2 linked regions of the Caenorhabditis elegans genome follow. The protein of the gene in region 2 interacts with the protein of the main gene of each other region in a pairwise test. Each region holds a gene or a part of one and is shown on either strand. Other genes may lie near its edges.

Region 1 (16,737 bases), on a different chromosome or scaffold from region 2:
TGGAGTTCCTCAAAGGTTTGGAGTTGACAAGTTATTCACGCAGAAAGGATTATCGTTTGATCCACAGGAGTAAGTTGAGAATTTTGATCCACAATAAAACATTTTTTAGCAGTTGGAGTTATTTTAATTCTATCAAAAAATTGATTAACCTATTAACCGATTAACCCAAAAACATATTAAAAATCGTTGTCAATATTTCAATAACAATTTTACAGGCTGTTCAGCAATGTATACAGTACCCGCACATTGGAAGAAATTCTGGAGCAAGGTGGTGGCTCATCGAGCACTTCTGTTGGTATTGGTAACCCTCTTCACGAAGACATTACCTCTTTCCAAAAATCATCTGATTCGAGTGTTCTTATTGACATCCCGATGACATCTGAACCACAATCATTTTCTGCATCAACATCTGAACTACTCTCCTCGGAGCCATCGTCTAATGAAGAAACTCAAATTTCTGAGGAACCAGAAGAAGAGAGAATATTGGATGTTCAACTTCGGCACATCAAGCGTTATGTTTTCTGTTTAGTTATTTTCATTCATATTATTGCATTTCTTCTAGTTCTGTTCACCTAAGTTTAGGGCGTCTTCTTCTCAACTATAATTTCCGTGTTTCACGCCTGAGGTTTTTCTTTCAATAAAGTTGGTGTTGGTTTTGATTTTCCACTTGTTTTATTTGGGCTTTTTTACAATATTTGAAATTGGCAGATCAAAGTAGCTTGTATTCCCAATCATTCGTTTAGTTATGAACAGTTTTCACCTTGATTTGAATAAAGGATCTAACGTAGTGTCAGAGTGTGCCATTTTGGTTTGATCTACGTAGATCTTCAAAAAAAAACGAGAGAAAAGACGCAGAATTCTCAACTAATTTTGCATGGTTAAGAGCGTGCTGACGTCACTTTTTTTTTTTTTTGAAAAAAAAATTCACACATTTTTTTGTAGATCAAACCGTAATGAGACAGCCCGACACCAGAATTTCCGAACAAGTATTTTTGTTGAATGCTCCCAACCTTTGATTTTGGACAAACGAAATGTAATCAGTAGTACAATTGCAAGGGTGAGATCAAAGAAATTAGACCAGCTCTCAACAATTTTTCATACTAACTTTAAATAAAAGCTAGTACGAAAACTCAACTATTATTCAACATTCTGATTATTATCAAACTGATATGCAGCTATACTTCAGCAAGTCACATGAGTTAATTGTCATTGTTGACGTTGCTCACTAACAAGGAACCAATATTTCTTTCGAGTAGTTAGTATTGAGCCGCACTCGTTTCTATTAGAAACGCTATCCATCGTTTCAGATTTATCCGTCGCACGTTTATCTTTACTAATCTGGTTATAGTAAAAACTTGATCAATTTTTTTTGGATCAGAAACACAACGTTTTGGAGATGGCACTGTAGCATACTTATCAGGTCGTTATAAGAAAAAAAAAGCTTCTAAAGCAGCTTGGATAATGACTATTTTTACAGTTATTGTACACAATTTTCGTACTTTCTCATAATAATATTTTGCTACTGCTTTGCTTGACGTTCTACTTTTAGGATAACCTATCTGCGTATTTAGTGTTTTCTATGGTTCTATCTCTCAATCAGATAATTTGCAACTCAGTTTTTCTCTAGAATTTTTCTTTCAATGCCTGTCCTGGTGCAATCATTTACCAATTTATTCAGCACATAAAAGCGCGCTTCTCATGGTTACTGTGCTAGCGGTTAGGTTTTAGGGGGAAGCCTCAACTAATTCTATCTAATTGGTATATCTTCAGGCGGTCACCGTTTATCATTTCCTGCTCCATGTGCGGTCTATGCACCTGAAAACTATGTGTCTCCCCTGTATCTACTGTTGCCAGCGATGTGTCTCCATTTATGTGACACTGCATACGCCTGCATTAAAAAACACCACTCCGGCGGTTTCTGACTCTCCAGGCCTTAAGTAGTATATATTCTACTATAGGGGTTGTTCATAGTTTCCTAACGTTGTATACATGATGCCAAGTGAATTATACGCTCTAGGATAGACTCAATTTGGTGCAGGTGCACAGAGCCCACAAGATGCGGAGCAAATGATAAATGTAGGCCGCCTAAAAAATAGACCAATTAAATAAGATTAGTGGAGAAGCAACCTCCGACTAGATCCTACCCGCTGACAGGAAAACCCGATAGGAAAATACACCAGGACAGGTGTCGAAGAAACCCAAAAGAAGAATTCTGAGAATAATAGGTACGATTAACCAGATAATGAAAAAGTACCATTGTACTTTCAAACTCTGCAACTCTCAAGTGTTTCTCTCCTACACGGGACGATAGTCACTATCAATCTTAATATTTTAAAAGTTTATTTTAATTTTTGCTACTGCTCTTATTTCAATAATCTTTCATCGACATTTTAGGTAATTCTCCATCCGAAAAACTTGTTGAAAGCAACAACATGGAGGTAAGCAAGCAAACTTGATGATTTCAAATTCCATATTTCATTTTTTAGAAGAGTAAAAAAACGAGACAAAATTTTAAAATAGCCGAGTTAGGGCTTCTGAAGGAGTCGTTTGAAAAAGACTCACACCCTGGAACTTCTGAAATGAATCGTCTTGCTGGTTTATTGAATCGAAACGAAGCTCAGGTTTGTTGTTAAATTTTAGAAACAAAGTCTACTATTTTTTCAGATTAATCGCTGGTTCAAGGCAATGAGAGTAAAAGTGAAAAAGGCTTCCTTAAAGGTAGTTGAAATTTAATTTTTATGTGAATCATTTTTGTGAATCAGTTTTGCTGAGAAAGTTACTAATTGGGTTTAATGAAATGCCTGTTGTCAATTTTTAATGGGCTCTTTCTCTGCGTTTGTCGCTATCATTTTAATCTTTTCAGTCAATTTTCATAGAAGTATTTGTTTCATAATTATTAAGTTGCCGACGTTTTCCATTTTAATAAGTTTCATCACACTTCTGCTTTTATTGTTTGAAAATGTATTATTGTTTTCATTTTTATGCTTGGACAGCTCAAAAAATCACATTTTACAATTACCGTGTCAGAGAGTTTGATTGAAAAATCCAGTTGAAGTTTTTTTTGACACATACTCGACTTCATTCTAAAATCTTTGCAAAATGCACACAGTTCAAGTTGTAGCGCTGAGCATCATTATCGCATTAGGCTCCTGGAAATATGTTGTCATGTATAAAATAAATTTTGAAGATGTCGAGAGAAGTTACAAGCCAATCGGGAAGCAATGTAGAACTCCTGGGATCTTCGATTGTTCCCGAGCCACCGAGTAGTGAAATAGTATATTTTTTTTCGCTTTGACATAAATACATACAAAAAAAACTTTTCTTGAAGGTGTCATCGCAAGCTCAATACCGATTGGAGAACATGAAACTATTAAGCAATGTTCCGGAAACTTTTAATGTTGCAGGACCGTCAAACAGTAAAATGGTATGTTACTTTTCTCCGAGTTTTAAAATACAGAAACTTCTGAAGGTACTTCTGGAAGCTTACATGAACACTGTTCGGCAAACTTCGAGTGTTGTTGGGCAATCAAGCAGTGAAATGGTATGTTTTTTTCCAGTTTTGAACAACTGGTATGTGTAAATGAGTTCTCACTAAACCTCAAATTATTAATTTCACCCCAAATTGTCAGATGCCATTCAGACGTACTATATTAAAAATGCATTGCAAAGTTTTAATCGACAATCTTTGGCACTCTTATCTAAATTGTTCCACAATATTTCTCTTGAAACCATACAAATTCAATTAAAATCAGATCAACTTTAAAGGCGACGAGATTAAAGCTTTAAATTTTCCCAATGCCAATCCTCATTGAATACTTTTCACCAAAAGCGTTAATTTATTTTATGAGACTTTGATATTTACAAAAAGTCATAAAATTGAAGTAAGATCCGTAGTTTTTAGAACATGATAATTTGACTGGACCTGCTGTAGAATTGAATTATAACTTTTATTTGAGGTTTTTAAAAACTAATGGATAGACGTTTCAATATTGTAAACATAGAAAAAGTTGGGAAAAATGTTCGTCTCATTTGTAGTATTTTATTACTTTAAACGGCTAAAAACATTTTGAAAATTAATTCAGACTCTAACACATATTTTGCTGTGAGAATACAAATACATATAAATAGTGTATTTTTCAAAAAAAAAATTGAACTGTCATGTTTTTCTAAAACTATGACCTAACTGTATTTCATTGCAGCATACAACTCCTATTGTTCCAATTATTCAAGCCAACAATGATCTGCTCACTGTCAAACCACAAGCTCCACCCAATCAGAGTATCGGACGCAAATCATTCATACCCTTCACAATTGACAATATTCTCTCGTAGAGTAGATTTAGAAACAGCTTTTGTAATCAGATGTTGTAATACATTTTATAATAAAACTTCTCAAAAAATTTATGTGTTTTTAGAAAATTTGATTTTTCACTGGATTTTACATATTACATTATACAAATTACATAGCGGGACTTCAAAAATTTTCAAAATTTTCCACGGCGCTTCAAAATTTCAAACAAATGGGATTGGTTATTGTTGTTCTTTGAAGAGTTACTGTAATATTCGCTAGGAGATATTTTGACAGTGCTCATTCTGCGGTAATAGAGGTGGCATAGGGCCGATCCGCATTATTGCGTTGACCCGCGACCCAGACGGAGTCAGAGTTTTTTGCAAGTTGGAGTGCACTCATAATACTACCCCGCCGGGAATTGTAGAAAGTTGAAGAGACGCATGCATATTGAGGACCAGATGGCGGGGAGAAATAGATTGTTACACGAAAAAAAAGATTGTTACACGAAAAAATAGATTGTTATACGAAAAATAGATTGTTACACGAAAAATAGATTGTTACACGAAAAATAGATTGTTACACGAAAAAATAGATTGTTACACGAAAAATAGATTGTTACACGAAAAAATAGATTGTTAAACGAAAAAATAGATTGTTACACGAAAAAATAGATTGTTACACGAAAAAATAGATTGTTACACGAAAAAATAGATTGTTACACGAAAAATAGATTGTTACACATAATGAGGGCCGCAGGCCCGAATATACTCAGAAGTGATGGGCATACGTTAAGCCTATTCTTAGCTCAATAATTCAGGTTGAGGGCCGCAGGCCCGATTACACAAAGAAGTTTTCGACATCAGTTAAGCACCATTTGAAAGTGGAACTTGTTATTTTTAAATTTAATATTAAATCAAATTTGGCCGGTCTTGACAAACTTCAGCACATTTACAGAAGTTTTGAGAATTCACGTCTTTCCAAAAAGTGAAATGTTTCATTGTTCGTTATTTTTCAAATTTGAAAACACCATTATATTTTGGCTCAAACACTTAATAGCAATAGAAATTTCGCACTTTTACAATCTACGCCACACCCCTGAAAGTTGTCATGAACGTTTATATCTCGGCTCTCACTGGACCGAATTTTGAAATTCTTTTTTCTCCACATTCACAAAATATAGCGACGTGTGTTCATCTAAAAGGGGGTTGATTTTGGAGCATCCTGTCGGCTCCACAAGCGGAAAACCACAGCCTGCTTGTTTTTGCGCACACCGAAGTACTGGCCGAAAACCACTTTAAATTGAAGGAAAATTCGAGTTTCAATCGAAAACATTTGAGACTCGAAACTTAAGTTCTCCTTCCCAATACCTATCCATAGTATCCAAATTCATTGTGATATCTCTATTCGTTATTTTTAAAACGATAATTAAAGTTTTGCCAAAATTTCTGCACATTCCCCCTTTTCTCTCACACACACACCCACCTCCCCCTTTCATATTTGGTGTGTTTTCGGTCAGTTTTCACCATTGTTCCGGTCAAATCTCTGTTAGTCTTGCTTTTTTTCCAATTTTTTTTTGGAAAAATGTTGAATACATCGAGAGGAAGCGAAAAATATAATTTTTTTCCAAAAAAGGTGGATAATCGTATCAAAAATCGAAAAATGAACATTTATCTTGAACAATTTGCATTTTTCCATAAAATTCACAAACTTTCCACTATCGTTTCGGTTTTTATGTTAAATTTAGAGTTAATAGAATGATTCAAAATGGAATCTCAAATCACAGCTCTATCCGATCATTTTTCGCGGAGATAGGTTATTTAGTTTTTGCACATGGAAATCCAGTTTTCCTCTGTTCCTGGACAAGTTTTCTACTATGCTTTTGATTTTATTTTCTAATTTTGATAATTTTCACTAAAGAAAGGTAGACAATCTAAATTTGGTCGGCTATGACAACTTTCAGTTGACTAGTCTTTTGGATTATTTGAACGGATTGTTTTCAATCGATCATGTCGATTTGGCAATTGACCATGATCAACTTTTTGGGGAGTTCAAATCTGCTTTGAGCCACCCTTTGTTTCGGAAATGCCATTTTCTAAAACTTCTCGGACATTCGTACTTTGGCACTGAAGATATGGAATTTATATTGAAGAATTTCGATTCGAAATATGGATTCCTGACTTATTGTTTACACAAGGACAAGATTGATAGAAAGCTGGTAAGTTGAAAATATCTTTGCTGAATTATGAGCATATTCACATTTAAGTGGGCCAATATTCCACGATTGGACATCGAAAAAGGCCCAGGATTAACACTAGACGATTTGAAAATGATGGATTGCGAGAAAATGAGATTTTATGATCTCAATACAGTCTCGGCAACAAAACGGAATAAGTAAATTCATTACTGGCTGGCCGGGAATTCGCCGAAACTGAGAAGACTTCAATTGAACTACTGGTGGCATAATTGGACGGGCGAATTATTGAAAGGTTTATCATATTCCAAATGGAATCCAAAACGTAGAGCAAGAATCTTCTGGTATGTTTAATTAAGGTCTTTTCCAAATAATAACTTTCTGGAATTTTCAAGTCATAAAAATGGAGGGAATCATTCTGATATGCATTATTCTTGCTTAAAATCTAGGGGAAAACAGGGAAAAAATAAAAAGAAAAACTACACTTTAAAACCACATAAGCTAAGTCGAAACTTAAGCTTTCTAAGCCGACACCTGATTTCAATTTTAATGCTTAGCCTAACCTGAACCTAAGCCCAAGCCTTACACTTAACCGGAACATATGTCTAAACTTAAGCCTGCCAGTTGAAAATTCAGTTTTTTTTAAATTGTCGTTTCAGTGATGATCTTGAATTTGTGGATTGCACATATGGACTCGATATTGAGAGAAGTGATGGTCTACTCGAAACTATTCTAATCGAAAACTTTGCTATGTACTTTCTCGTATGGCATGACAGATTTCCACAGGATCCCCGAACATTGTTTCACTTCTCGAAATCTGTTTCAATTCCAATTACAACTTATTAAAAGCATTCGTTTTTCTATGTTCGAAAGTTTTGAGATATAATGCACTTTTTTATTAGACATTCAAAAACTGAACTAAATAAATTCTGATAAAAGTTTTCTTTGTTACTTGAACTGAGTATTTGTCTTAATGTAAAAGTACTGTTAAGTCATCCATGTGAGAAAGGTTCATTCCCGAGAAAAAATGTCGGCGACAAAATATCAAGAAAAAGATGTTATCAAGAAAAGGAACTGTGTTTTAAAAGTTTTAAATATACCCGAGAGATGGGTATATGAATCAAGTACTACAGAAAAACATGATAAAAGAGCATTGTCAAAAAAGTGATGCGAAATGGGGAGTTTTAACAGGAAAGGAATGGAAATTAGCCCAGAGGATGTGAGCAACACGAAATGTGCTCTACGCAAAGTTTCAGTTTTTGGAAAGGTTGAAATGTTTGAAAGAGATTTTGTTAAGTTCATGAAAGAGATAACAAGTTTTCAAAGGAGACAATGAAATGTTGACAAAATTGAGTGAATGAGAAAAAAACGTACAGAAAACACAAAAAATTGTTGAAAACAAAATCATCTTATTTCGTATTTGTCAGCGCTTCTGTTCGTATCATAAGATCGTTCCAAGCTTCCCGACACGTAGTATGACGCAAATTGTATGAAGTTGGCTTGTAATTCTTCTTCCTCATCAACTGTCGGAAGTTCTTCCCCTCTACGTGGAGGCGTCAGTTGGACCGGCATTGATGTGAACTCCTGAGTATATGTTAATATCATTTTTGAATCATTGGTTCTCTTATTTCTAGAAACTATGAAAACTGTTATGAAAATTGGAAAATCCTAGTCATTAAACAAAGTGTTGTTTGTGTTTCAGTATCAGTAAAAAAACTAAATGAAATCTTATGTACGTTGGCATACATTTTTTTAAAACTGTACTAAAAATAACAACACTTTGCCCTAATTGTAAATCGTTTACTCTAAAAATTACTCATATTGCTTCTGAAACTTTCAAAAGAATTGAAACGTAACGTACTCTGTCAAAGAAACTCGTGTCCGTTTCAGACATCACATTTGGCTTAAATGGAGGTTCGACTTCTTTTCTTAATGTTGCTTCCCAATCCACATCTTTGAAAAATTCAGCTCTCGAAACTTCACGTGCATCATCAGGACCGGCACCAAGCCGCTTAGCTGGGACCCTTTCGAGTAGTCCAGATAGTAATGTTACGGCTTCTGGGCTTAACCTATTCGGGAACTTCAAATCACATGTCGTAATTAGTTCGAAGAGTTTGCCGTTCTCCTTTGCTGAAAATGGAAGCCGTCCACACATCATTTCGTACATGACCACTCCGACTCCCCACCAGTCAACACTACGGTCATAGTCGATGTCTTCGATAACCTGAAACAATAGACTAATAACTTGACGCGAGAATTGAAAGGCTTTACCTCTGGTGCAAGGTATTCTGGTGTTCCGCAAAAGGTGCTTGTTTTATCTCCATATTTGATTTCCTCTTTGCACAACCCAAAGTCAGTGATTTTGATGTGACCATCTCTGTCGAGAAGCAAATTTTCGAGCTGAAAAAACAATGGAAAAAACAATGAAAAAACATCAAAGTTGTGAAATTCAAAAATTTCTGACAAATACTTCAAGTTGTGATAACCCCTCTCAAAAAGCTTCTACTTACTTTCATATCACGATACACAATATTTCTGTGATGAAGGTATCCAAGAGCAAGTATGATTTCCGATCCATAAAATCTTGTTCGTGCTTCGCTGAATGTTTTGCACCTCTGAAGATGGGTGAACAGCTCGCCACCATTTGCAAACTCCATCACAAAACAGATGTGATATTGTGCTTGGAAACTGTATTTAAGTAGCTGAAAAAATATATTTGTGGCACTGTGTCAACAACTGGGGAATTCAAATATTTTAAATAATTGTAAGTAAGATATATTTGTAAAGTTATGGCAATCGATAAATTTATAGGAAATATGTATTTCAGAGTTTCTTAGAGAAAAAAAATATGGTTCCACGGAAACGCCCGCCCTACTTCGGCACGCCCATGCGCCAGCATTATCACACTCTGTGTACTGCTGCCGACGCCGCGCAGGACCTCGCGCCACTATAGCTACGTGCAACAGAGAAAGGCGATGTTGTGAGGGCGGCGGGAGTGTGGGGCGTATTGTGGTGCTGGCGGGCGAGAGTAGCGCCATCGTTGAAATCCTAGTGTGCATTTATCCGTCTCTCTAAACATGATTTTTTCACGAAAAAAATCATCTACTTCAATTTTCACTGACATCTGCCAACATTGTACACCGACTCAATATTTTTTCGACCAATAAGCATACCGTGAGAAAAGGGTGAACGCAAGCATACAGAACTCGATTTTCAGTCAAAGTGTGGGCCACCTCAGAACGATCAACGACCATTTCTTTTCTGATAATCTTAATGGCGTAGAGCTTATCAGAACTTTTCTCCCTGCACAAAATAACTTTTCCGAAGGTTCCTTGACCGAGAACTTTGAGGAAGTCAAAATCGTCCATCGTCTGCAAAATTAAATAACTACATACATTTAAGAAATAATAGAGATACAAAGCAAAACTTGAATTTTTAGCGGAAAATCAGAAAAAAAAGTTTCGCTCAACCTGTCAACCAAAAAAAACTTGTTGCGCCTTTCGAGTTAATCATTTTTACTCAAAAAACTTTCTTTAAAAACCTCTTATTTCCACATATCAATACGTGGATTTGTTGGCAGGATTTTGAAACTTACCACTGTATTTTTTCTTGGAACTTCCTCTGGTTCGTCGATATTCATTACAGTTGACTCAAAATCATTATCCGAACGGGTGCTTGTTGCGTCCATGTTCACATCACTTTCTCCAGACGGATTCTAAAAAATTTCATGAAAATTTTGAATCTCTTTACTTTCATACTCCATTAGTATCTTCCTCCTGCATGCTGGTATTTCCTGCATTTTCTTTCAAACGATTGTGACTGGATACAGCTTGAATTGCTTCAATCCACATCTGACGGAAGTCGGCGCTATCCGCATAAAATGTGCGTTCAATGACAGTGGTCCATTGGAGACATCGCACGATAAACATATTTGGTCGAGGTTTGTCAAGGCAAACCGTCTGAAATAAAGCATTTTGGTAGTTGCGGTTTTCAATATGGAAACTGCCTACTGGCAATTACTTAAAAACTTATTTGAAGTTCAGCTAAGGTTTTCAAATTTTTACTAAAGAGGGATTTCTACATATGTATATTACTGGGGTACTAACTTTCTGCTTAAAGGTGGAGTAGAGCCAGGGAAGATTTTGTTCAAACACATTTTTAATAATCCAAAATGTCCGAATATCATAATGAAGCATTCCAATAAATTTTAGATTTTTCATAATTTCCGGTCAAAGTTTTGGCAAATTGCCAAAGTTTTGAAAAGTATGAGTTTTTGAAGAAATCGAAAGCAATGTCGAATGTTCCGACCAGGGGTGTGCGGCAAATTTCGAAATTTGCCGCACACGTCAAAAATTTGACAGTACAATTTTGACTAAAACTGTTGATTTTTTCGCCAAAAATTTAGTAAAATGACAACAAATTGAGTTATTTTGATGTTTAAGCAGACACACTACATCTAACTTGTTCAGAAACCAGAGGTGTGTTAAGAATTCAGTAGTTTCGGTGCTCCAAAAAATATCAAAAAATATATAATTTTTCCGATTTTGTTAAGCACGGCAAATTTGCCGAATTGGCCGTGCTCGGCAAATAATGGAAAAATAGATTTGCCGAATTTGCCGAGCTCGGTAAATTTTGAGATTTGCCGCACACCCCTGGTTCCGACCCTTACAATGTTTCAATGGATATAATTAAAACAGATATACAGTATAAAAAATGTTGGAAAAAATTCTTTTTGTCGACTTCCAAAATAATGGGTGGCAAAAACTTAGTAAATTGTCTGGCGCTACTCCACCTTTAAAAGCAACGATTTTGAAAACTTTCTAGTAACCATCTACAGGTTCAAAAACTTACCGCTGCGTCTCTAATCATAAAATTATTCAGTGGCTCTGGTAACGGCTGATCTTCCTTTGGCTTTGACCGGAATCCAAGCAACGTTCCATCTCGAAACAAGATGAAGTACCTAAAATACTGACATCTTAGGATTTAATTTTCATTTATTTCCAAATTAGTTTTGGTTTCCTGTTGGAAGATTTTCATTTCCAATTCAGTGCAATTAAAGTGAAAACTTTTTGAATATCTTTTCATAAGGGACAGTAGCTATGAAACTTAAAACTACTGTACTAGATTGGATACATAGGCCTGGTAAAACAATGAAAAACTTACCTGGGGCGCCAATTACGAATGTGCTCTCCTTTCTTGTGAAGCCAACTTTCAATAACAATGTCTTCTTTTTGTAGATGGGCGTTTTCAGTAGACATTTTTACGCTGTAAATAGTGATAATTCTTTCAGAGATTTTGTTTTAAAAAAGAAAAATACGTCGTTAAAAAAATACAATTAAAAGGTAGTTTTAAATTATGGTATTTATGTACTATACCTGCCCCAAAAATGGAAAACCACGTGTCCCACTACGGTGTGATCTACAAAAAATGCGGGACTTTTTAGCCACAAAAATGTGACGTCAGCACGTTCTTAACCATGCAAAATTAGTTGAGAGCTCTGCGTCTCTTCTCCCGCATTTTTTGTAGATCTACGTAGATCAAGCCGAAATTAGACATTCTGACACCACGTGGAAACCCTATTGGCAAAAATTTTTAGGGCAGATATACTACACGAGCACTTAAATATTACAACTTTTCCATTACATCTTAAAAATTTACAAACATAGTTTGAACTTCATGGTTATGAAACATTTATAACAATTTAGTTTTAATTGATCATATTTTCAATAAGGCTTTGAAGTTTAATTTTTTTAATTCAACACTAATTAGGTTCTACGACAATTTTTCCTCCAAAAAAAAATCTAACGAACTAAGAATTCATAGCTTTGATAAAACACGAAAAAAAAAAGAAGAAAATAGTCGTTGGCTACGAAAGACTATGGGAAAAACAAACACCCCTAGTGACGTATTGTGGCAAACAGAGGAAAAGGACAGAAGGAAAAGATTGCAGACAAAACTTGAGCGGAGAAGCAGAGAAACGCCGGCAAGAGAGATGAGAGAGAAATAGAGATAGCAGCGAAGAGAGGGGATGTGACCTTTTTTGCTGCGGCAGGAAAAAGGACGAAAACAACTTCAGACACTATTTCTCCCCCCGTCAACAGCATCACGAGAAAGGTTGCGTTTGAATATTGATTTTTTTGGAAAGCGAGATTTGTTTTCAAAAAAAAAAAGAAGAAAATTCTGGAATAATGAAATATGAGAAACATGTGCGTGAAACTAAACATTTTCAAATAACGAGGGAATGTGAATTCTGGTGGATCAAGTATAAAGCAAAATTATTTTATGTACGCAATACGTTGCTCACAATTTAATAACATTTAGTAACTTGTTTTCTCTTCAAAACAAATTATTATTCGAATTTAACTTGGGGAAAATTATATAAACCACCTTAAACAAAGATTCAAGTGACTGTATTATTGTTTTGTAATATCATAAATGCGTTATAATGAAATTTCCACTGACACGTGGTGTCAAATTGTCTCAGTTCTGTTTGATCTACGTAGATCTACAAAATTCGCGGGAATTTAGACGCAGACATTTCAACTGAATGCGCATGGCTAAGAGTGTGCTGACGTCATATTTTTTGGGGGAAAAAATTCCCGCATGTTTTGTAGATCAGACCGTGATGGGACTGCCTGCCACCACGTGCACAAGAGCTACTCCACCTTTGCTGCAAATCTCTATTCTTTTGGTTAACTGAACAAAAAGTTTAAGCAGAAAGAGGCGTATTTCACTGGAAGTAGAAGTGTGATGTTATATACAATTTTAGTTATTTAAAGCGGAATAATTTAACGAGGTATTCCTGTGAATTTTGACTGTAGGCGTTCGTCTACTTATTTCCGCCGTTCCGTGCAATTTTAGTAAAAATCTATAATTTTGAAATCTCTAAAATAAAAATGAATTTCAAAAATGTATAATATTTCCTAACGTCTAGTGGAACTACATAGGTAACTTTTTGTCTGGAGTAAAATGGGCATGGTGTTGAAACAGTGAAATATGTGATTTCCTTGTGATATTTGTTGTATGACAACCGTCTTACTTTGAAAAAACCAACGAAGCAAAAAAAGCATGCGGTCGGAAGAAAGTGGTAAACAACTTGCCAAGTGAAAAATGCATCCAAAACCACAAGATGATAAGACAACCGACAAACAAAAAACACAACATAAACTGTAAAATGCCGGTTTTTTAAGTGTCGCAAGACATTAAATAACAAATTTTTGAAGTTTCGCAACTCTCTTTTTCTATATTGTTTACCAGATGTGCAGTTTTTTTTCTTTTATAATAATATGAACTACTAAAAACAAAGAATATACATTTTAGAGATTCCGAAAAAACGACAAAAAAAACCGAAAACGTGGGATTTGATCTCTGAAAATCCACAAACAAGCATGTCAACAACGTCTATTATTCAGTTGTTTTTTGGTGTGTAGTCCTTTATATAGAACAAGGACACCACAAAAACAGAAACGTGCAAAATATAAAAAAAAAGACATATTAATTACTCGTTCTTCTCGCAGTGGACAGATATGAATTTTTATTCGAATATACTGCTATTTTGTATATTTTGTCTGCATTGTTGTTATTAGGCCTGTGGAGTGGGTCGCCCCATTTTTTTTGGGTCGGCCGGGTTGGGGTCGCGTCCCCGACCCATTTTTTGGGTCGGGGTTGCGGCCCCGACCCACTTTTTGGGTCGGGGTCATGTCCCCGACCCATTTTTTTCAAAATTTAACAGAAAGTTATCAAAAACTTGAAAAACTATTTTTTGTCAAAAAACACGTGTAAAAGCTGAAAATTATAAAATTATCGTATTTTCATCAATTAAAAAAACATATCCTATTTTCGATACAAACAAGCATAAGAGTCAACGTTTAAACACGATTTACAACAAAACAAACTTTTTTTTTCAATTTCAGACATTTTCCGAAAATGGGTCGGGGACGCGACCCCGACCCAAAATTGGGTCGCGGGTCGACCCATCTCGACCCATTCAACAGGCCTAGTTGTTATTAGCTTACAGTTTCAATCGGTAGGCACTCAATTTTTGGTATATTTGGAAGCCGATTATCCGAAAATGCACGTAAAAACACGGAATAAACAATTTAAATTAAATAGAAAGTATCAATTAAAAATATTAACAGCGCATTTCAAAAATATTAAAAGTTATTAAAAAATACAACTGAAATGGAATAAAATAACTTGAAAGCAAGACTGATAAAAGTTCACATTTTAGTAAGACAAATAGATAAGGACTGGAAATGTATGTCTCAATTGATATTATTGAGTGCAGGTCCAATAGAGAAATAAATGTAGCATAAGTATTAAAGCAACATCGTTTTGAAAATACTGTAGCTTTGAAATCTCAAACAGGTCGGCAAACCGGAAACATAAAATAAGGAAAATTTAAACAGTTCTCTACAGAGCATGCTTGAGTTCTCGTAAATACTTAACGTGTTTTTGACATGGTGAATATGGGAAATTGATGATTGGAAAGGATCTGTCAACATTTTTTAAAAAATCCTATTTTTCCAAGCAAATATAATAATATGGGTTAATTACAAGTCGTGAAAGGTTAATTAATTCAGATATTATACGATTGTTTTTTTAGATTTGTTAGGTCTGCAAAGAAGGATGGAAAAAGGACCCTTAAAGTAGATGTAAGAGTGGAGTCAGTGAAAATGGGGAACAGACAGATAAATAGTTAATGTGTTATCTTTATTTTAAAATGCTGCTTTTTTGTTGTCAATACAATGGGTGTTTCTTCAACAATTCTTTTTCAGATCGGGTCCTGAAAATAAAAAGTTTAGTTTTGCAGAATATCAAAAAATATAGGGTTTTTCTTCTTACAATTAGTTCATTTTTGTTCAAAGCCATATCCATATTGTCCAAAATAGACAACATATCTCAAGTGAACTTTACAAACATTTACCGTTGTTATTTACCATTCCCTATCAACTTCTCCATCATCATCCCAAGGATAATCGTACGTTTCGAAATCATCCATTTCCACAGTCCCAAATGGCCACCAACCATATACAATTAGTTCAGGCTCTTTAAATGACTGAACGTCTAGTTGCAGTATTCCCCCCGCGACACAGTTCCGATTCCTTGTAGGAATAGCTTCTAGTATTGGATTCACCTGTTCCAGGTCCACTTTCAAATGAGCTCTGCTTCTTTCTCGTTCAGCAGCCCGTTTTTTCTGCTCCTCAGTCACTGGCCTAACAATTCTGAAGTTTGTGCCATTACGCCATTGGAACCAGCGACGAACCTAAACGCGTTAGAGTTTTTTTAAGGAGAATTTTTAAAGTAAAAAAAAAAACTAACTTCTTTTCGAGATAATCCTGTATCTGCCATTATTTCCAAAATTTCATCGTTGTTTGGATTTTTGTTTGCCTCAAAGGCAGGAAGCAATTTGTGTATGATAGCTGGAGCATATTTTTCCGAGTAGTACGCGTTTTGAATCTGTAGCTCAAAATTAAAATTTAGTAGCACAATTTAACGTTACCAAATAATTCTGTGCAGAGTAACATTCGGATAATTCGGATGACGAAGAATCTTCACGTCTTGATCTTTCGATTCCAAGTGTTTGATCTGCCTGAAATTTAGAGTATTTTCAAACGTTTTCTTCAAACATTCTTATTTGAATGTATTAGAATTTAGCTAAATATATAAGCATATGAAACAGTTGAAAAAATGATTCAAGATCAGCAAAAATTATGTGTATCTTAATTTTGATTTTTTTTTATCACAGTGAAATTTATATTCTGGTCTAATTAAACTCGGAATATTTTGAATTATTATATTTGTCATTTTTCTAGTGAGCTGAAACCAATCTTTAACAAATTTTTTTTCTTATTTTGATTGATAACTCAGCGTTTGTTTTAAATTTAAGCACGTTTTTAGTACACAGTAAGTTTTCAGAAAAATAAAATATACTTCAATTAACAAAAATCACATAAAAATCACCTTCCGCCAGCTGCGATACTGTAAAATTGGCAAAATTTAAGATTCTTGTCGCATCGAAGGCGATTCTTAATGTTTGATCCATAATATTCTGACTATTCACATTCCCAGAAAATATTTTATTACCATATTCCCATATTCCCTCGAATTCACATTCCCAGAAAATGTTTTATTACCATATTCCCTTGCTTCCTCACGCCCCTGCTGATCGAATTAAGAGACCATATAAAAGGAGCCGGTCAGTTCCCCAAGAATATACACTATTGTTTCCCCCCTTCTTCTTATTCATAAATAAA
Region 2 (16,524 bases):
GAATGCAATAGAGACAGGATGATCGAATTTGTGTGTGTGCAAAATGAGATGAAAGAAGAAAAAATTCATGTAAGTATTTGGCAACTTTTTTGGGATCAGATTTCTTATAATGATTTGGAAATTATGAAAATTTGAACATTCTGAAAAAGTTCGAAATGCGACGTCATGAAAACGGGCGGAGATTTGAAAAATTTGAAAAAGAACAAAAACAAAGGCTTAGTGAGAAAGTGCGCTGGGAAAAAATTGACAAGAAACGGAAGAGATTAGAAGGTCCATAAAAAGAAGGAAATTTAGTGATGGGGTACAATGTACTATAACAAAGAAGGAAGAACTGTAATAATCATAAAATGTTTATAAAAATTGCTAAATTGTTTCAAAGGTACGCAGGTAATTAAATGTTGGTAAAATGATAGTTTGTCATTCAATGATTTTTGTTTTTTCTTCCTATTCCAGAAAACAGGAAAAATCTTTTCTTGGTGAATTTCAGACAAAATCAAACCCCTTTTGTCTCAGATATAGACGTCGATTTATATGCGGAAGAATAAGTTTGATAAATACGTAATGATGTTGCAAAGTTTATATTTTTCAAGCTCAAAATGTCAGTTTGCCAAGGTCTAGACAAAACTGCCAGAAAACTATGTAAAATTTGTTAGTTTCACATTATATGTTTTTTGTTCGGAATTTTTTTTAAACCTGTAACATTCGCAGATTTTGCGTTTACTGTACTAGCAATTGCAAGAGTTTTAAACCAAGGAAATTCCAAAAATGTTCGATTTTTGTGCACCCCTGATGATTGCACTCAAATCATTATAAATTCAGTTTAGTTATTTATGTATCCGTATTTTTTCAAATCAAATCACAAGTTCATACATGATTTCAAAAAAAAACGATGGGTGTTCTTTAGATCTTAGAATACACTCTGGGATCTCACACTTTTGTGTTCTGGCTCCGCAATACAAACAAAGAAAGTATCATCTTATGATTTTTTAGAATAAAGTGCCTGAATCTCCAAAGTGAAAATCAGTATGACCTTTTAGATTACTGGAGTTCCTTATTTTTTCGATTTTCCTTTTTGAAAAGTGCTAAGCTCATCGTATAATTAAATGGCTCGACGGAGTAAGCTCTTTGCCTCCCCCACAAATAAATTGTGGTAATAAGGAAAAGACGAGGAAAGTGAATCAGCAAATTTTGATCGAAATAGAAAGAGAAGCGTTAATAGATCGAGAAAAAAGGAAAAAAAAAAGTTTTTGTCTAAATGAGGGGCTGATGTTTGGAATTTGAGATACGATGAAATGGGAGCATCTGATGAAGAAGGACATGTGAGTGAACACACCACTTTTTCCTGTTTTTGACCACAGTTAAGTAGTTAAAGACGTAGATCAACATTAATTACAGATGAAAAAAGTTTAGGTTTTTAAACCTTAAGCTTTTAAGAAAAAATAATTGTTTTCTAGAAGTTAAAGCATCTAACTTAGAAGTTTATACGCAAAAAACAGGCCTAACAGTTTTTAATTCAAGACGGTTAATATTGGAAGTTACAAAATGTTTTTCAAAAACGAAAATACGTATGACAAGTTATGTTCCAGCTCATCAATTTTGTTTTAAAGAGAGATATCTCCCTACTTTTTTCAAAATTTATTGCTCATCATGTATCAAACCAAGACACAAAAAGATCCCTGGCATTTGTCGGTCTATCAATACGTGCATTCCACCAAAGAACGTCTAGACTTTTGGGATCCCAAGGGGACAGAGAAGGGACAAATGATGATTAGGATAGAGGAAAATTTTGGGGTAGACCAGGCTTCTAGCATTGATCAGTTTGGTTCTTTTGGTATTTTCGAAACGAATACAGAAAGAATAGCCGTTTTGTCTCATCATAGCTAAAACTTGAAAAAAGCTGTAAGTACAGAATTTATATTTTTTGTAATTTTTTCAATGATAAATGATCGTAACTTCATATCAAAATGGTTTTGTAAATTTTTGGTCAAGTCAGAAGTTCTTAAACATTTCATTTTTGAAATGTTCTTGAAATAAACATTTTTTGAGCATCACACCTTAAAGCATAATGTAATTTTTGGTAATGTTCCGCTTCTTGCACATATCTACATCGATGTAAATAAGATGTGCATCTAAGTATAAGGTTTCGCGAGAAATCTTTGAAACATTGAATCTTGATTTTTTGACTTATTCAACTCGAATTTGTACTAAATATTAATTTTTTAAACTATGCCATAGAACTATTATGTTGGCTGGAGATTTTAATTGTTTCTGAAAAAAACTCTAATTTTTTTTTGCAAAACGTTTCGGAGCAAAATTGAATTTTGGAAAAAAGTATCCTTATAAGAAGGGAGTGGATCAGTTTTTACTCTGTTTTAATTTGTGATTTTCAATTTCAGAAATTCAATTTTTGCATCTAGAATATTTGATCTACATTTTCAATAAAACACTTTTAATATGTCCTGACGCAAACCTACAACTTATCAAGTTTCCAACTTGCGATCGTTGAATTTTGATGTACTTTTTAAAAGTTTCAACAATAGTTATAACGGAGAACAAAACGGAACTTCTGACTTTAAAGTTTTTCAACTAGAAATAAAGCACGAGATATCCTTTACAAATATAGAAATGTGTTTTAACTTCCGCTTTTTGCACATTTGTCAGAGAATTTGCACCTAAAATGGAAAGTTTCCGATTTGCATTTTCGTGCTTTCTATTTCTCTATTTCTACTCTCATTTTATGAAACCACTAGGATGCATAAAAAGTCATGACATTCGAGATGTACAATCGAAATCGGATACTTAACTAGTTTCTGTGTACTTTCGAGACTATTTTGTGTGAAGCCAATGTGCTCTTTAAAAGGAGATATTTGGAAACAACGGGACAAATATATTAACTTTTGATAAAACCGAGGAAAAATTCAGAAAAATTGAGTGAGAATTTAATTTTGCAAAAACAGAAAAAAAAGCTAATTTTCATTGAGTTGGAATTTTGCATTAATGCAACTCATTTAGAAAGGTGTGGTGGGAAAAGCTGAACGAAAAGCGAAATTACAGAATTCGAAGATGCAGTATTTCAGAGATTTCTTCAACAGTTGGGTTTTCTGCAGACTCGTCAAATAGGCCAAAAACCAAAGAAAACGACAAAAAACACGTTGGTGGTTGTTGAAATGAAACATTTGATCCATTCTCATTCGTCTTATTTAATCCCTACCTCCTTATTTCGCCTCGTAACTTTTCTCTAAATTTTTTGATATATTTTGAAGACAACAAAGAGCAAAAGTAGAAGAAAGCTATTTAGAAAAATATACGCAACTTTATACATGTTTGACTTTTTTACATACTTTCGAGGTTAACAAAAGAAAATTATCATTTGCCGGAAAAAGTCTAGATTAAGCAGTTCTGGTTTTATTCTGTATTCACTGGAGGACTTGCGTTCAAATTTATGAGATCCTCTGAAAAATTAATTATGTCTTTAACGGGCTTAACCTTACTGACTTACTGCTCAACCTACTGAATACTAAAAACTTGTACAATATATTTTCAGCATTTTTACAAAGTAAGTATTGAAAAAATGTTCAGTCATGCGAAAACTGAAAATGACTGCCTCTCGTTGCCCAATATCTCTTAAATTTTCTCTCAAATTTTGGGTTTCCAATAGTATCAACAAACTATGAAGCCTTTATGACGAAACTATGACAAATTTCCACTGAAAAATTAAACAATTTAAAATGATGCAAATTTGAAAATGAATTCAGGAAAGTTGAGAAAGGAGAATGCAGAAGGTTGCAAGAATCGTCAATTCGCGGAAATTGAAAATGGAAGACACAGATTACTTTGGAGCAAACCGACGCTGTGCACATTTGGGAGAAAAAAGTTCATCGGAAATGGAAGAAGAAGGGCGTCTTCTTTTTTCTCATACTTTTTCAAAATGAACTTATTTAGAGCTTTTTTGTTCTTTTTTTCTATTGTTATTTTTCCAAAAAACTTCATTTTAATTTCCTAAGTTTCCTGATTTTCCGAGAAATTGTTTCGCACATTTGCAATACAATGTCTCCTACATGATATTTGCAAAATTGTAGAGCCAATAAGTTAGCAAATATAACAAATATCCTCCGTCATTTTCTGTGTAAACTCTTAGATATATATGTGTTTAGTGGATCTCAAAGATGAGAAAGAAACGATGGAATTGGGTTCGGAAATCGAATTTTGAACGTGCAGTGTTGCACATTTTAGATGAGGGTCAATGGACAAAGTACTGGGATTTTTTTTGTTGGATGAGGGCTAAAAGTTTTTTTTGGAAAAAAGTTTTTTCTGCCGGCACGTGGGGTTTGCAACATTTGGAAAATTGGGCAAAGATCCTAATGGTGGTATCAAGGGATTTGAAGAGACTGTGATTATAGGCTTAAGGAAATTTTCGGAGGGTCCTAATGTAGTAAAACTGAAAAAAAACGTAAAGAAACAGTGTTCCTTTGACACTGGGATTTGTTTAAATTTCTAAAAGTAATCTTGTTTGCAAAAAATGCCTGCCTACCAAAATTCGTAGCGACCTATTTCAAGTTCCCCTGAACTTATAATTATAATATTTGAATTGAATTTTCAATCAATTAATTAAAAAAGAAAAAAGTGAAAAAGTGTTAAATCCAAAAAATGCAGAAAAAGAAGGAGACCGCCATGTCTATAAGAAGGCATAAGGCAGGTTATGTTTATTTTGAAATTTCCTTCTGTTGAATCCAAATAAATTTCTAAAAAGGACCCTGAAGGACAAAGTTTTAAGAATGTTTCATGTTGAGAATCTAGGCTAAAAATCATTTTATTTAGTGAAACACCTCATATTATAATTTCAAATAAAACTTTGTAGTGCAACAAAATAAGGAAATACAGCTAGACACAAACTCTCATAAATTTCCGTAATCCTAAACTCTCAGATTGTGAATGTAAGTGATCCTTATTTGGTCAAGGGTTTCTGCCAGAAATAGACAAAGTTCAAACACTAGACTTACCTTTTGATATATTCTTTTTAGTTCTTTTGAGTTTTCAAGAAATAATAAAAAGTGTTCACAGAAGAAATAAGAATTGTTTAATTCTAAAAGTCAAGGAGTCTTCAAGTCCCGCCCATCGTAGACTACCGTAGATTCCAAAAGTTCATTGATCAGATAGAGGTGTCCCAAAAAAAGAAGTGGAAAAATGGGAGGAGTCTTCTTGACTTTTCTCGGAAAACAAAGAAAAAAGAAAAGTAAGAAAAATAGAATAATGAAAACTTGGCTCCTCTGATATATTGGAACGAGAATAAAAACTAGGAGGTGGCAGTTGAAAATCAAGACACAAGGAAATAGGAAATGCCCCGGTTTCCTGTTTTTACTTTATATATCACATGTATTTGAGTGCTCATGTGTTTAGTAATTGCATCAAAACATATATTTACGAAACTGCATATAATTAATTTGATATCGACTAGTATTTTTGAGATTAAAATGTCTACATTCAATCTTTAGTCCAGTCTTTAAAGATTATTTCCCCAGGTGAACCTTTTATTTTAGGCATCCACGTTTTTTTTTCCAAAATGTTAGTTAGGAAACTCAGAGCAAAATTTTGTAGCACAACACAATAAACCAGTACTTTTATCAGATCAATTATTACAATATCTTCAATGTGAAAATATCTAATTGAATTAGAAACAAATTTTATTAACACATTCGGCGTATTGTTTCATTGCAAGAGACCACTAAGCGAACAAAAATAGCTTTTCTTGAGCTCATTAACACATTCTTGTCAAAGAGGAAGTATTCTAGTTGCCACGTCAACAGATGTCTCACGGAATATGAAAACTTCAAAAAGAATGGAAATAGACACTACGAAGGGCCACATTTTCAGACAAGAGGAAAAAGTTGCCGAAAATCAGATATACCGCTTTCTGTGAGTGGAAAACATTGTGTACTTGTTGTTATAAGAAATAATTCCACATTTTATTTATTTAATCACATTTAACCGGAAAGCCTTAAATAAAAATAGTATTGTTGAAAAAACAAGGCAACGCTTGAAATAAAAAGTTCATATCCCACAAGGCAATTTGTTTTTCCTTACTGTAAAATTGGACCAATTAGATATTCGAATAAGTTATTAGTATTATTAGTATTAATATTTTGATTTTTTTTCATGTCGTTCGGTGCTTTATAAGGTTTTTTAGAGTAGGATATTTACACATTATCTTTTCAAAATAAATTCTAAACGTTTTTTCACCAAAATTTTCAATAAAAAGTTTTCTAGTTATTTTGGCACTGACACGTTGAATGCATTTGAGATTTCAGCTGAAATGATTCCTTTTTTCAAAACTTCAAAACTAGAAAAAATTGAAAAAACGTTTCAAAACGTCTCAATACCAAATGAGCCTTTTGGACTATAATTTAAGTCCAGTGATTTCCAGTTTACATATTATCAAAGCAATCATAGTGACGTGTATTTGTTTATAGAAAGCATATTACTTACACCTAGACGAGAACCTACACCTTTGGTCTTTTTTGCCAAGCTATTATAGAAAAAGAAAACATCTTCCAGCCAGCTACAAACTGAATCGTCATCAATGCTGCAAATTATTCACGAATCACACGCTTCTGATATATAATCTCTGACACTAATGCTGACTACACATCCTGTTGGCTCAACTGACAAGACGTTTTAATTTACGATTATGACTTGAAAGTCTTTGACCTTGGCGGATCTATGGTATATTGGAAAATATATGGAAAAGAGTTCAGAATTTTCGACAATTTCAGTTTAAAAAAAGACAGCTTATTCTCTTATTCCCACTCACCTTCGATTTCTTCTTAACTTCTCTCGAATCCACCGGTGCACTCTGCGACCGCTCAACCGCGATCCAATGTCGATACAGCTTGACTTTTAGTTCTTAACCCTTATCTGAAATCGCAATTAATCAAAAAATTAGTGACAAGCACGAGGATGAGTTCAACTCTCCACCACGGAAAAATTTGAGTTCAACTCTCCACCACGGGAAAATTTTTTGCGAATTTTTTCATCCCAAAAAAAAAGGAAAAAAAATCCCATTGATTTGTCTACATAGGGCATCGAAAAGCACCCAATATTTAGAGAGTAGAAGATTTTGAGAATTACTGCCTTCAGAAATTGACAATTTTCCCATTGATTTGTCTACAAGGGGCATCGAAAAGCACCCAATATTTAGAGAACAGAAGATTTTGAGAATTACTGCCTTCAGAAATTGACAATTTTCCCATTGATTTGTCTACAAAGGGCATCGAAAAGCACCCAATATTTAGAGAACAGAAGATTTTGAGAATTACTGCCTTCAGAAATTGACAATTTTTCCATTGATTTGTCTACAAAGGGCATCGAAAAGCACCCAATATTTAGAGAACAGAAGATTTTGAGAATTTGGATATTCAGTCAGAAATAAAATGTTTCGCTTGACTGAGCTAATCAGTCGCCATATTTTCCTGATGAGCACTGTGGTCGGTCATGGTGTGGGGAAGATCATATTCAAGGAAAATAATTGTTGCTGTCATGTGGGAAGAAAATGACGAGAAGCTCTACTTTCTCGGACAATATTGTGGAAATTTTCTGTAGAAAAAATGTAGTGTGTACACTCATTAAAAGTGCGCAGTTCTGTAAAGTGACTTGCAGAATTCTCCCACATTTCTTTTTATTTTAAATCTTCCTTCAAAAACTTCTTTGTATTCCATTTCCTGTGCGGATATTTTCAGAATTGAATTGTCTTCACGAGACTCCAATCTTCCAAGAATGCTCTTTAACAAAATGATTGTTTGAACTTGAAAATTGGATGGGTGTTGGACTGAACCATCAAAGATTTTATAGTTCTCTATGTTAGTGGAGCAAGAGAAGAGAGCAAGGCGACTAAAATTGAAATTGAAGTTTGCAAAAAGGGAAATTACCACGAATTCTCGTCAGTGCAGAAGCTCTTACTCATGATTACAATTGTCTGGAATATTGAAGAATGAAACAAAAATGATGGGAAATGGATTTGAACTTTTGTGGTTTGCTCCGATGCTCAAGATGTAACGGGAAAGATACCAGAGGTAGTGGAAAAGTGCAATTTTAGAGTGGAGAAGGAGAAAAGTTCATTTAATATTTTCAAACTTATTAATTTTATACATACATTTACGTTTCTAAAATATAGATGGGATTCAAAAATACAATTTCTAAACAACTCATACCATTCTTTTCTACCTCCAGGGAGCCTGCCTCGTGCCTTTACGGATGCCTTCTTTCAAAGTACATTTGTAGCTTTTGTCGAATTCCTTCTTGACCCTCAACAAAATTAAAACGCGAGTATTAGAAACAGTGGAGTTCAAGCTCAAATGCAGCATATACCTTCATATTTTTAGGGGTATTTTCCGGTTATAAAAATTTGTGAGTATTGTATAACTTCGCTTCAACTACACAACTTATTAAAAATTTAACTTTTTCCAACGTACGTTTGAGTACCTGTTGAAGCAGGCATAAAATTGCAAAAAAAGGAAAAAAAATACTTCTCACCTTTTCCATCTTTTATCAGTGTACTAATCAAATATTTGATTTCTTGAAAACAATTTCAATGATCTTTATTTTGTTGAAATTATTGTTTCTCACGGTCTAGACTAATTGCATACCAGATTTTCTGAGAAAAGTGAGTCAACTGACTGAAAAAAGTCTAGGAGACTTGTAACCTTGAAAATTCTGATAATATTTCTCAAACAAGGGATAAGTATTCAAACTGAGCTTTCATTGCAAAGGTTTTTGAGACAGATTACAAAGAAGTCATAAAGTTTTCTGATAATTACAAGATTTGAAGATTCTACCCAATGCGTCTCTTCTATGTGATACAAACTCTTTAAAAAATATTTAAGAGTGACTTTCTGGTTATCGAAAAGTTTCGAAAACAGACAGGAAATTTCTGTTTCATGAAATTTCCTATCTGATTTGATCAGAGTGGTTGACTAGGTTTTTTTCTTCAAAAACAACTTTTTGATTACTACCAATCCTCTTACCAAACTTTTACACTTCCTTTCAAACCTTTTTAGTTGCAATTGGCACGATTGATAACGCCCTGACAAGCTTTTGCAACTAGATTCGAGCTAAAGACAATCTTGACACCATCGTGGCGAAATTTTGACCGGAACTTGGCCATTGTTGCCAGACAGTTGTCGAATGTTAGGAAGCTTTTAAAATGTTTACCAATTATTTAGGATTGAATGATGATAAGATTATATACCGCAGACAAAAATTAAAAACTTTTTGAAAATAGTTATATTTTATTGGTTCAAAGTATTCAACAGTAGCAGCAATGGACCTAACTTTCTATGGTTGAGATCTTTTTACAATGATTCATCTATTTTGAAATTCATGTACTTTTCTCAATCGAACTTTTGAAATGTCCTGTATATTATTAACTTGTCAATAAGCCCAACGGTCATCCACATCACCACATATTCTTTTTTGCACATTCGAACATCTGTGCACACCAATCCTCTTTTCATCATTCACTCTTTCTATTTCAATTCATCTCACCCCATTTATCTCTTCGTCTCTATTCTCACTTATCTTTATTTGTTCGTCTATTTCCTCTCGTTTTCCTCCTTCCTCCATCATATTTTGTTCATATCAACACAATTCTAATATCTAAGTTTTCATTTCAATTTCTAGCCTTTTGATTAGAAAAACTACAACCGTCATCATTTGAACATTCCACCACAGGCAGCAGCCTCACTATCTGTTTGGCTTCCCTTCATGTTTCCGGTTAGATATTTGGTTTATGGTAAGTTTAAGACGTCGTGGTTTTATATTCTTCTGAAAGTTCAGGGCTCAGTACTTCATGCATCACTCTACTCTATGCACTTCGTCTCTCATTCCATTCTACAATAATATGTCAATTGGAGAATTCAACTGGTCAGTCGGTTAGCTATTAAAATCATTGGTTGATTATTCGTTGTTTGATATCATTTCAATCAAAATGACAGTTCCTCTTGTGAAATTATAACGGTTGATAGTGAACAAGAAAGAACTGGTCATTCTCTGATCTTGGAAGCTAATCAACTTTAAAATTTCTAAACTTGCAGACTCATTTCTTTTCGATGAAGATCTCAAGCAGTTTACGTTCCAGTCTGTTGGATTCGGGTTGGCTGTCGGACTTATTCCACTACACTTTCTGAATTTTTTGGGTACAAGGTTTGTAATGGGAGAATTGTGGAGGTTATTTATTACATAAGTGTCTAGAGACGACAATTTAGGTTTTCTCTCACAGGCAAAGCGGGTACGGTCCGTTTACGGATCTTGGACCGGGAACGGACCATTAACGGGTGAACTACGGATATGAAAAGCGGGACGGACCAATTACGGGCAAACTACGGGGAATGTAAAAAATGGCCATTAAGAGGAAAAAATGGATTTTAAGAAAACGATTTTTCTTAAATACCTATGATACCAGTTGGCTAATTCAAGCATTTTTACGTCGTTAAATGCATTATTTAGAGCAAAAACCATATTTACCGACCGAGATGGCTCTTGAGCCGTAGTTGGGCCGTTTCCGGTCCGTAGACGGTCCGTCGCCGGCCCGTAATCGCATGCGATCTAACTGAGGCTATTAAGCATGACATTGTGTGTAAAAGCGGTTATATTAATGTAATCCTATAAACATATCAATAAAAAGATGAAATGCCACAATTGGGTAGATACTGTGTATACGCAACGTTCACTCTCTCTGCTGGTCTTCTTCAGCTGAGCAACAGGAGCATTTTTTGAAATATCATAAAATATTTTACTAACAATACATTCTGGAATCATATCGTTTCTGTTCCGTGTGTATTTTTAGAAATTAAGGTATTATTCAAGTAGAACGCATATACTTTATTTCCTCTATTAGTATTGCAACTCGGTCCAATCGAAAATTAGTCTTGCATGCAAGACTAATAGAGGAAATATGGTAAGTACCATATCTGTATTACAAGTAGATGGAGCACGTATAGGTAGATGTTGAGAAATATGCGAAATAAGTTCTGAACTACACGAAACTGTCAATTGTTATCGTTCGCTTTCATATAAGTCCAACGGCAAGATGGAGAATCAGAAACTACTGAAAATACAATCGAAAAAGTTGGTGTAAGACGTGAAAACCAGAAGAAAATGCGCGAGCGCGAGCTGATCGCTATTTATGCGAAGTCTATTGATTTTCCTCGCGTGCGCGAATGGCCAAACGGTAAGGTGATGGGCCAGTAATCAATCGACAGGCAGTGGACAAGTTCAACCCCGGCTGAGGCAGATAGAATTGGTACAACGAAGGATCACCGGAAGACGGTCTGGAGCAAGACCGGAGCTCGGGGGAGCATTGGGAAAGAAAAAGGGGGCAGCTGGAGGGTGAACAAATTTTCCCATTTTTTAGTCTCCTCACGGTTCAATTACGGTCCGTTGACGGACCGGGAATCGAACCGTGAACTGTTCTTAAATTTGAGCCGTTCCCGGTCCGTGAACGGACCGTTTTGGGCACTTTCCGCTTTGCCTGTGTCTCATAACATCTTTTCACTATTTTTCATTAATATGTAGTACAAAAGATTCAATTAATTTTATTGATTTATGTAGTAGTTCTCGTTTCAATACACAATTTGTTGTTGATACTCATTTAAAGCACACCTTCATGTTTTTCAGAAATGTGACCATTCTGTATGGAATCGTTGGAATTATCGCTGCTTTATTCTACCCAACAGCTTATCATCTTGGATTTTATCCGTCTTTCATCACTAGATTTTTTCAAGGAGCACCACTTGGAATTCTCCTTTGGCTCATTGCAAAAGTTGCAACAGAATGGACACCAAAATCTGAGACAGCTATTGCAATTGCAATTTTGACGTCGGTGTATCAATTGGCTCCGTTTGTAGCACAGATCACTGCAGCTGAGATGTGTCAGTATTTTGGATGGGAGTACACGTATTACTTCTTGGCAGTTCTTTGTCTCATTTCACATGTTGCATTTTATTATGTGTATTCGGATAAGGTTGATGATAACAGGTAGGTTGCTGAAAGTATTGCAAAGTAGGCTCGCAGGTAGGCATTGGACTACCTAAAAAAAAAATCTGATACAAAACTATCCCTTGATTATCCATGAAGTTCATAAAACGATTTATGACGTTTTGTTGTTTTCTTGCAAAGTTTCTAGTTAGTAGTTTAACTATTTACAGGCTTGCAACACCGGAAGAAAAAGCTTTTATCACTGAAGGGAAAGGCAAAACTACAGCCCAAGGGACTCCAGATGTTCCTTATAGACAACTCCTTCTTGACACAACTGTTTGGGCCACATGGTTTGCTAATCTTGCATTCTTCTCATCCCTTTTAGTTTTTCTGCAATATGGACCACTGTACATGAACAAGGTATGTTTGGTAAGATGTTCTTTAAATGATCAACAAACATTTACAGGTTCTCGGATTTTCTGTTCGAGTGACCGGGTATTCCGGTGGTTTGGCTCACGTGTTTTGTTTGGTTGCTAAAGTAATATTTGGGAAAATTATGGACAATAGCAAAATGGATATGACAAAACGATTGAAAGCAGCATGGACTTTTATAGAGATCCCATCTCTTGCGCTTTTATTGATTTTAATTTTTGTGAGTTGACTTTTCTTTTTTAAATTAAAATTATTTTGCAATTCCCAGAACATCCCTCGAACGCTTCAAAAATATAATTTTATTTGAATTAAAAAGTTTTAGATTCATGATGCTTACATTCAAATGATTTGCATTGTCATCTTCATCACAATCCATGGAGTTGCCATTATTATTATTGTGAAAACTCAAACTTATGTAAGTTTGCTCTTCGTTTCCATGCCCTGATTGCATAAAAGACATATTTTCAGAGATCAGCGGAGCACAACCACGTGCTTGCAAATGGAAATACGCTTTGTGTCGTTTTCAGTACATCCCTTCAGCCTCTACTCATCAAATTTTTGGTTCAATCGAACACGTTTGAAGAAGTATGTGACAATTCCAAAAAATGTATTATCAGTAAGAGTCTGGTCATGAGAATGGCTCAGGTAAACAACAAAATGTGCTAAGCGATTCTAGTCAATGGCAAGAATGTAGGCAATACGAACATATGAGCAAGTCGGGCAGTGCGAAAGATCACAAGCAATTCAATCAGTTTTTGGTCTGATAAAAAAATCTGGAAATGTATTTTTGATAACTCCGAAATGTATTTTTCAAATTTTCAAAATTTAAATTACTTTAAATTTCTATCGAATTCATTTTCAGTGGTCCCGAGTGTTTGGTCTACATGCTATCATAATTCTTATCTCTGTGATCCTCTTTGTCTGTAACATAGATGCCACCGCCGCCAAATGGACAGGAATACGAAAAATTCAAAATGAAGAACCATAATGGTCACTTTCTACTTTGGTATTGAATATATCATCGGGTTATCATATTATCGTGTCTCACAACCACCTGCCAATCTATATAAATTTCACTTTTTGGTTTTTTTTTTGGTGACAAACTACAATCATTTCTTATAAAGATATTAAAAAATAATTAGACAGCAAAATATACAACTAATAATCAACACATGGATATTATAATTTACAGTAAATATCATCTGTAATTTTGAAAGTATTACGCAGATTTTTACAACCACGGTATCTATCGATATGTTTCATAAAAAATTTGTAATGGCGTCATTGCAAATTTCTGCAATATGTAAAAAATTACATGTAACTACAGAAAATATAAATCTGTATTTACGGTTTCTCAGAATTAAAGTTTGCACAGACACAATGTTTCAAAATAAATTATTCCCTGTTGGCCTGATTGTGATTTACGAATTATCAAAAAACGCTCGACTGCATGCCGCCTTTCCAAAATTAGCATTTTCGTTGGAATGACGATAGAAAATTAGAAAGTTCATGACAAGGTTCACCTTAAAATAAAGTTTTATATTTTGGAATTTGCTTTTGTTCACCCTATTTAATAGTGAACTAAAATTCAATGACTCAGTGCATGTTCTGATGTTACCTGAATAAAATTATTGTTTTAAACACCTTTACCCAATTGATAAGAATTGATGAACTTGATAAAAAAATTCGAAATACGAGGAAAAGAAAACTATAGCCTAAATGTGCCTAGTTGATGCTTCAACTCAAAGTTCTAAGACAAAATGCACTCTTCGTTAAAGTCCTAACTGTAGACTATTTGCATTGGTTAACTATGCGGGTGTTCTTTTTTTTGTTAGCTTTGCGAGAAAACGTCTTACTATTAGATATTTGATGTGTTCATTGTTCAGAAGTTCACTAGAAAGTGAAATATAGTTAAAATGCCTTGTATAGAATTGATAGCTTTTCAATAATTGTCAATGAAGTCAAAAAAGTTCTAAGAATATACAATTTATCTTTAAACACATTGAAACGTGGCAAGCAATATTAAGTATGTTTCGTAAATGTTACAGGGCTCACGTATAGTTTTGCTCAATCTTTAAACGCCGTGCTCGTTGGAAATTTCCATGACTCGGCAGTCATATTTTCAATAACGACCCACTTTATTATATGCTCAATGGAAAACATATGTTAATGATAAAATTTCATGTTTCTCTTACCTATTCTTTAAATTTCAAAACTCACTCTACGACCTACTTCACCGTTTTCCGACTCCTCCCTCTTCCACCTTGTGCTCTTTTTTTTTATTATTTGTACAACTTCTAGTCTATTTGCTTTTGTCGCCAATCAGAACCGATAAAAGAACGCGGTACCGATTACCTTTCCCATTTAAATCAGTTTCAGCATTAACGTTACTATTTTCTAGATGGCTCCAAATAATAAAAAGCTGCTCATTGTGGGAGCCGGTGCATCAGGGTTGCCTTCTTTGAGACATGCATTGCTCTATGGAATTGATGTAACTTGTTTTGAAAGAACAAAGGATGTCGGAGGATTGTGGCATTATAAACCACAAGAGACGGAATGTGAGTGTAATTTTTCTAAATTAAAGCGTAGATTTCTAAAAATTAATAGCGGGTTTATTTTGTTATTTCCAAAGAAACACTTTCAATTTTAACCAAAAAATCATCAAAGATTTTCAGTGTCCTCTGTCATGAAAACTACCGTTATCAACACATCAAAGGAAATGACGGCATATTCGGATTTTCCTCCCGAATCAAGAATGGCAAACTTCATGCATAACACAGAAATGTACAGATACCTCTTGAATTACTCGAAACATTACGAACTCGAAAAACATATAAAATTTAATCACAAAGTGAATTCAATCGATCGAAATGAGGATTATGAGAAGACCGGAAAGTGGAAAGTTAATTATACTGATGAGTGAGTTTTGGAGAGTTTGATGAATCAAAAAAAAAGTCGAAGAATTACAGCAAAGGAGCTACCCATGACGCTGTCTTTGATGGTGTTATGTTGTGCTCGGGACATCACACTACACCAAATTGGCCACAAAAGTTCCGAGGACAGGATGATTTCAAAGGACGGATTATTCATTCACATAGTTATAAAGTAAGAAATTTTAATAAAAAAATTTCAATGACTTATCAGTGATTACGTAATCAATATCAGAGTATGCGCATAGTATCAAGTGTGTTTCGGTGTTGGTTTCGAAGCCAAGATAGTTATTTTCTGACACTGGAGAACCATTTCTATAATTTTTTTCTATCAAGAAAACTAGACAATTTTTAGGATCATCGTGGCTATGAAGATAAAGTAGTCGTTGTAGTTGGAATTGGAAACTCTGGAGGTGATGTTGCTGTTGAACTATCAAGAATTGCCAAGCAAGTATACCTTGTTACTCGTCGTGGAACATGGGTGTTCAATAGAATTTACGATTATGGACAGCCAATCGATATTGCAATGAACAGAAAATGCATCTCTGATCTGAGATCTTTCGTTCCAGCGTGGCTCACGAATACAGTTGTCGAAGCCAAACTGAATCAGCGATTTGATCATCAAGCATATGGTTTGAAACCAAGTCACAGAGTTTTTGGAGCTCATCCGACTGTCAATGATGAGCTGCCGAATAGAATAGCTTGCGGAACCGTCAGGATTAAGCCAAATATCTCAAAGTTCACTGAGACTGGGGTCCTTTTTGAAGATGGGTCTTTGATTGAGCAAGTTGACGAGGTGAGATATTTATTGGACCTCTTTAACCTCTTTAATTCATCCTAATTCAGATTGTGATGTCTACTGGATTCTCATTTGAATTCAATTTGGTGGAAAATGGGCAACTGATTAGAACTCATGACAATCAAGTATCCCTTTACCAGTACATGTTCCCAATAGAACTTGGAGATCACAACAGTCTTGCAGTCATCGGATTGGTCCAACCATTTGGTTCCATTATGCCACTATCTGAAATGCAAGCGAGAGTATATTTAGAGGAGTTTACTGGGAATCATGTTCTCCCAAAAAAGAATGAAATGACTCAAAATGTGCACGATAAACTTGAAACGATGGCAAGAAGATATGTAACAAGTCGTCGACATACTATTCAAGTGGATTATGTCGATTATATTGAAGAAC

The links.
Region 1: the proteins of K08C7.1 (region 2) and akt-2 interact in a two-hybrid assay, tested with the Caenorhabditis elegans proteins (one large-scale study listed by BioGRID).

Annotation. Positions count from the first base shown.
Region 1 is NC_003284.9:14,142,709-14,159,445, reverse strand, and holds akt-2 (Serine/threonine-protein kinase akt-2), read right to left. Parts: upstream 11,747-16,737; 5' UTR 11,740-11,746; coding exon 11,645-11,739; intron 11,442-11,644; coding exon 11,333-11,441; intron 10,441-11,332; coding exon 10,240-10,440; intron 10,197-10,239; coding exon 10,077-10,196; intron 9,853-10,076; coding exon 9,655-9,852; intron 9,184-9,654; coding exon 8,992-9,183; intron 8,882-8,991; coding exon 8,753-8,881; intron 8,706-8,752; coding exon 8,343-8,705; coding exon of another isoform or gene 8,298-8,342; exon of another isoform or gene 8,066-8,297; coding exon 7,886-8,065; 3' UTR 7,478-7,885; downstream 1-7,477. Other genes in the region: lgc-25 (Acetylcholine receptor-like protein cup-4), read left to right, coding at 1-69, 216-576; ceh-90 (Homeobox domain-containing protein), read left to right, coding at 2,433-2,438, 2,487-2,621, 2,665-2,718, 3,188-3,274, 3,329-3,424, 3,470-3,541, 4,200-4,331; ceh-89 (Homeodomain-only protein), read right to left, coding at 15,255-15,266, 15,618-15,746, 15,803-15,940, 15,984-16,073. UniProt on the Caenorhabditis elegans protein: Acts downstream of PI3 kinase age-1 and kinase pdk-1 in the daf-2/insulin receptor-like transduction pathway. Essential role in regulating developmental arrest at the dauer stage.
Region 2 is NC_003282.8:10,647,247-10,663,770, forward strand, and holds K08C7.1 (MFS domain-containing protein), read left to right. Parts: upstream 1-9,565; 5' UTR 9,566-9,756; coding exon 9,757-9,784; intron 9,785-9,828; coding exon 9,829-9,915; exon of another isoform or gene 9,916-10,051; intron 10,052-10,085; coding exon 10,086-10,194; intron 10,195-11,667; coding exon 11,668-12,027; intron 12,028-12,197; coding exon 12,198-12,387; intron 12,388-12,433; coding exon 12,434-12,619; intron 12,620-12,721; coding exon 12,722-12,814; intron 12,815-12,867; coding exon 12,868-12,984; intron 12,985-13,261; coding exon 13,262-13,387; 3' UTR 13,388-13,539; downstream 13,540-16,524. Other genes in the region: fmo-1 (Flavin-containing monooxygenase), read left to right, coding at 14,801-14,957, 15,075-15,318, 15,369-15,504, 15,685-16,125, 16,176-16,524.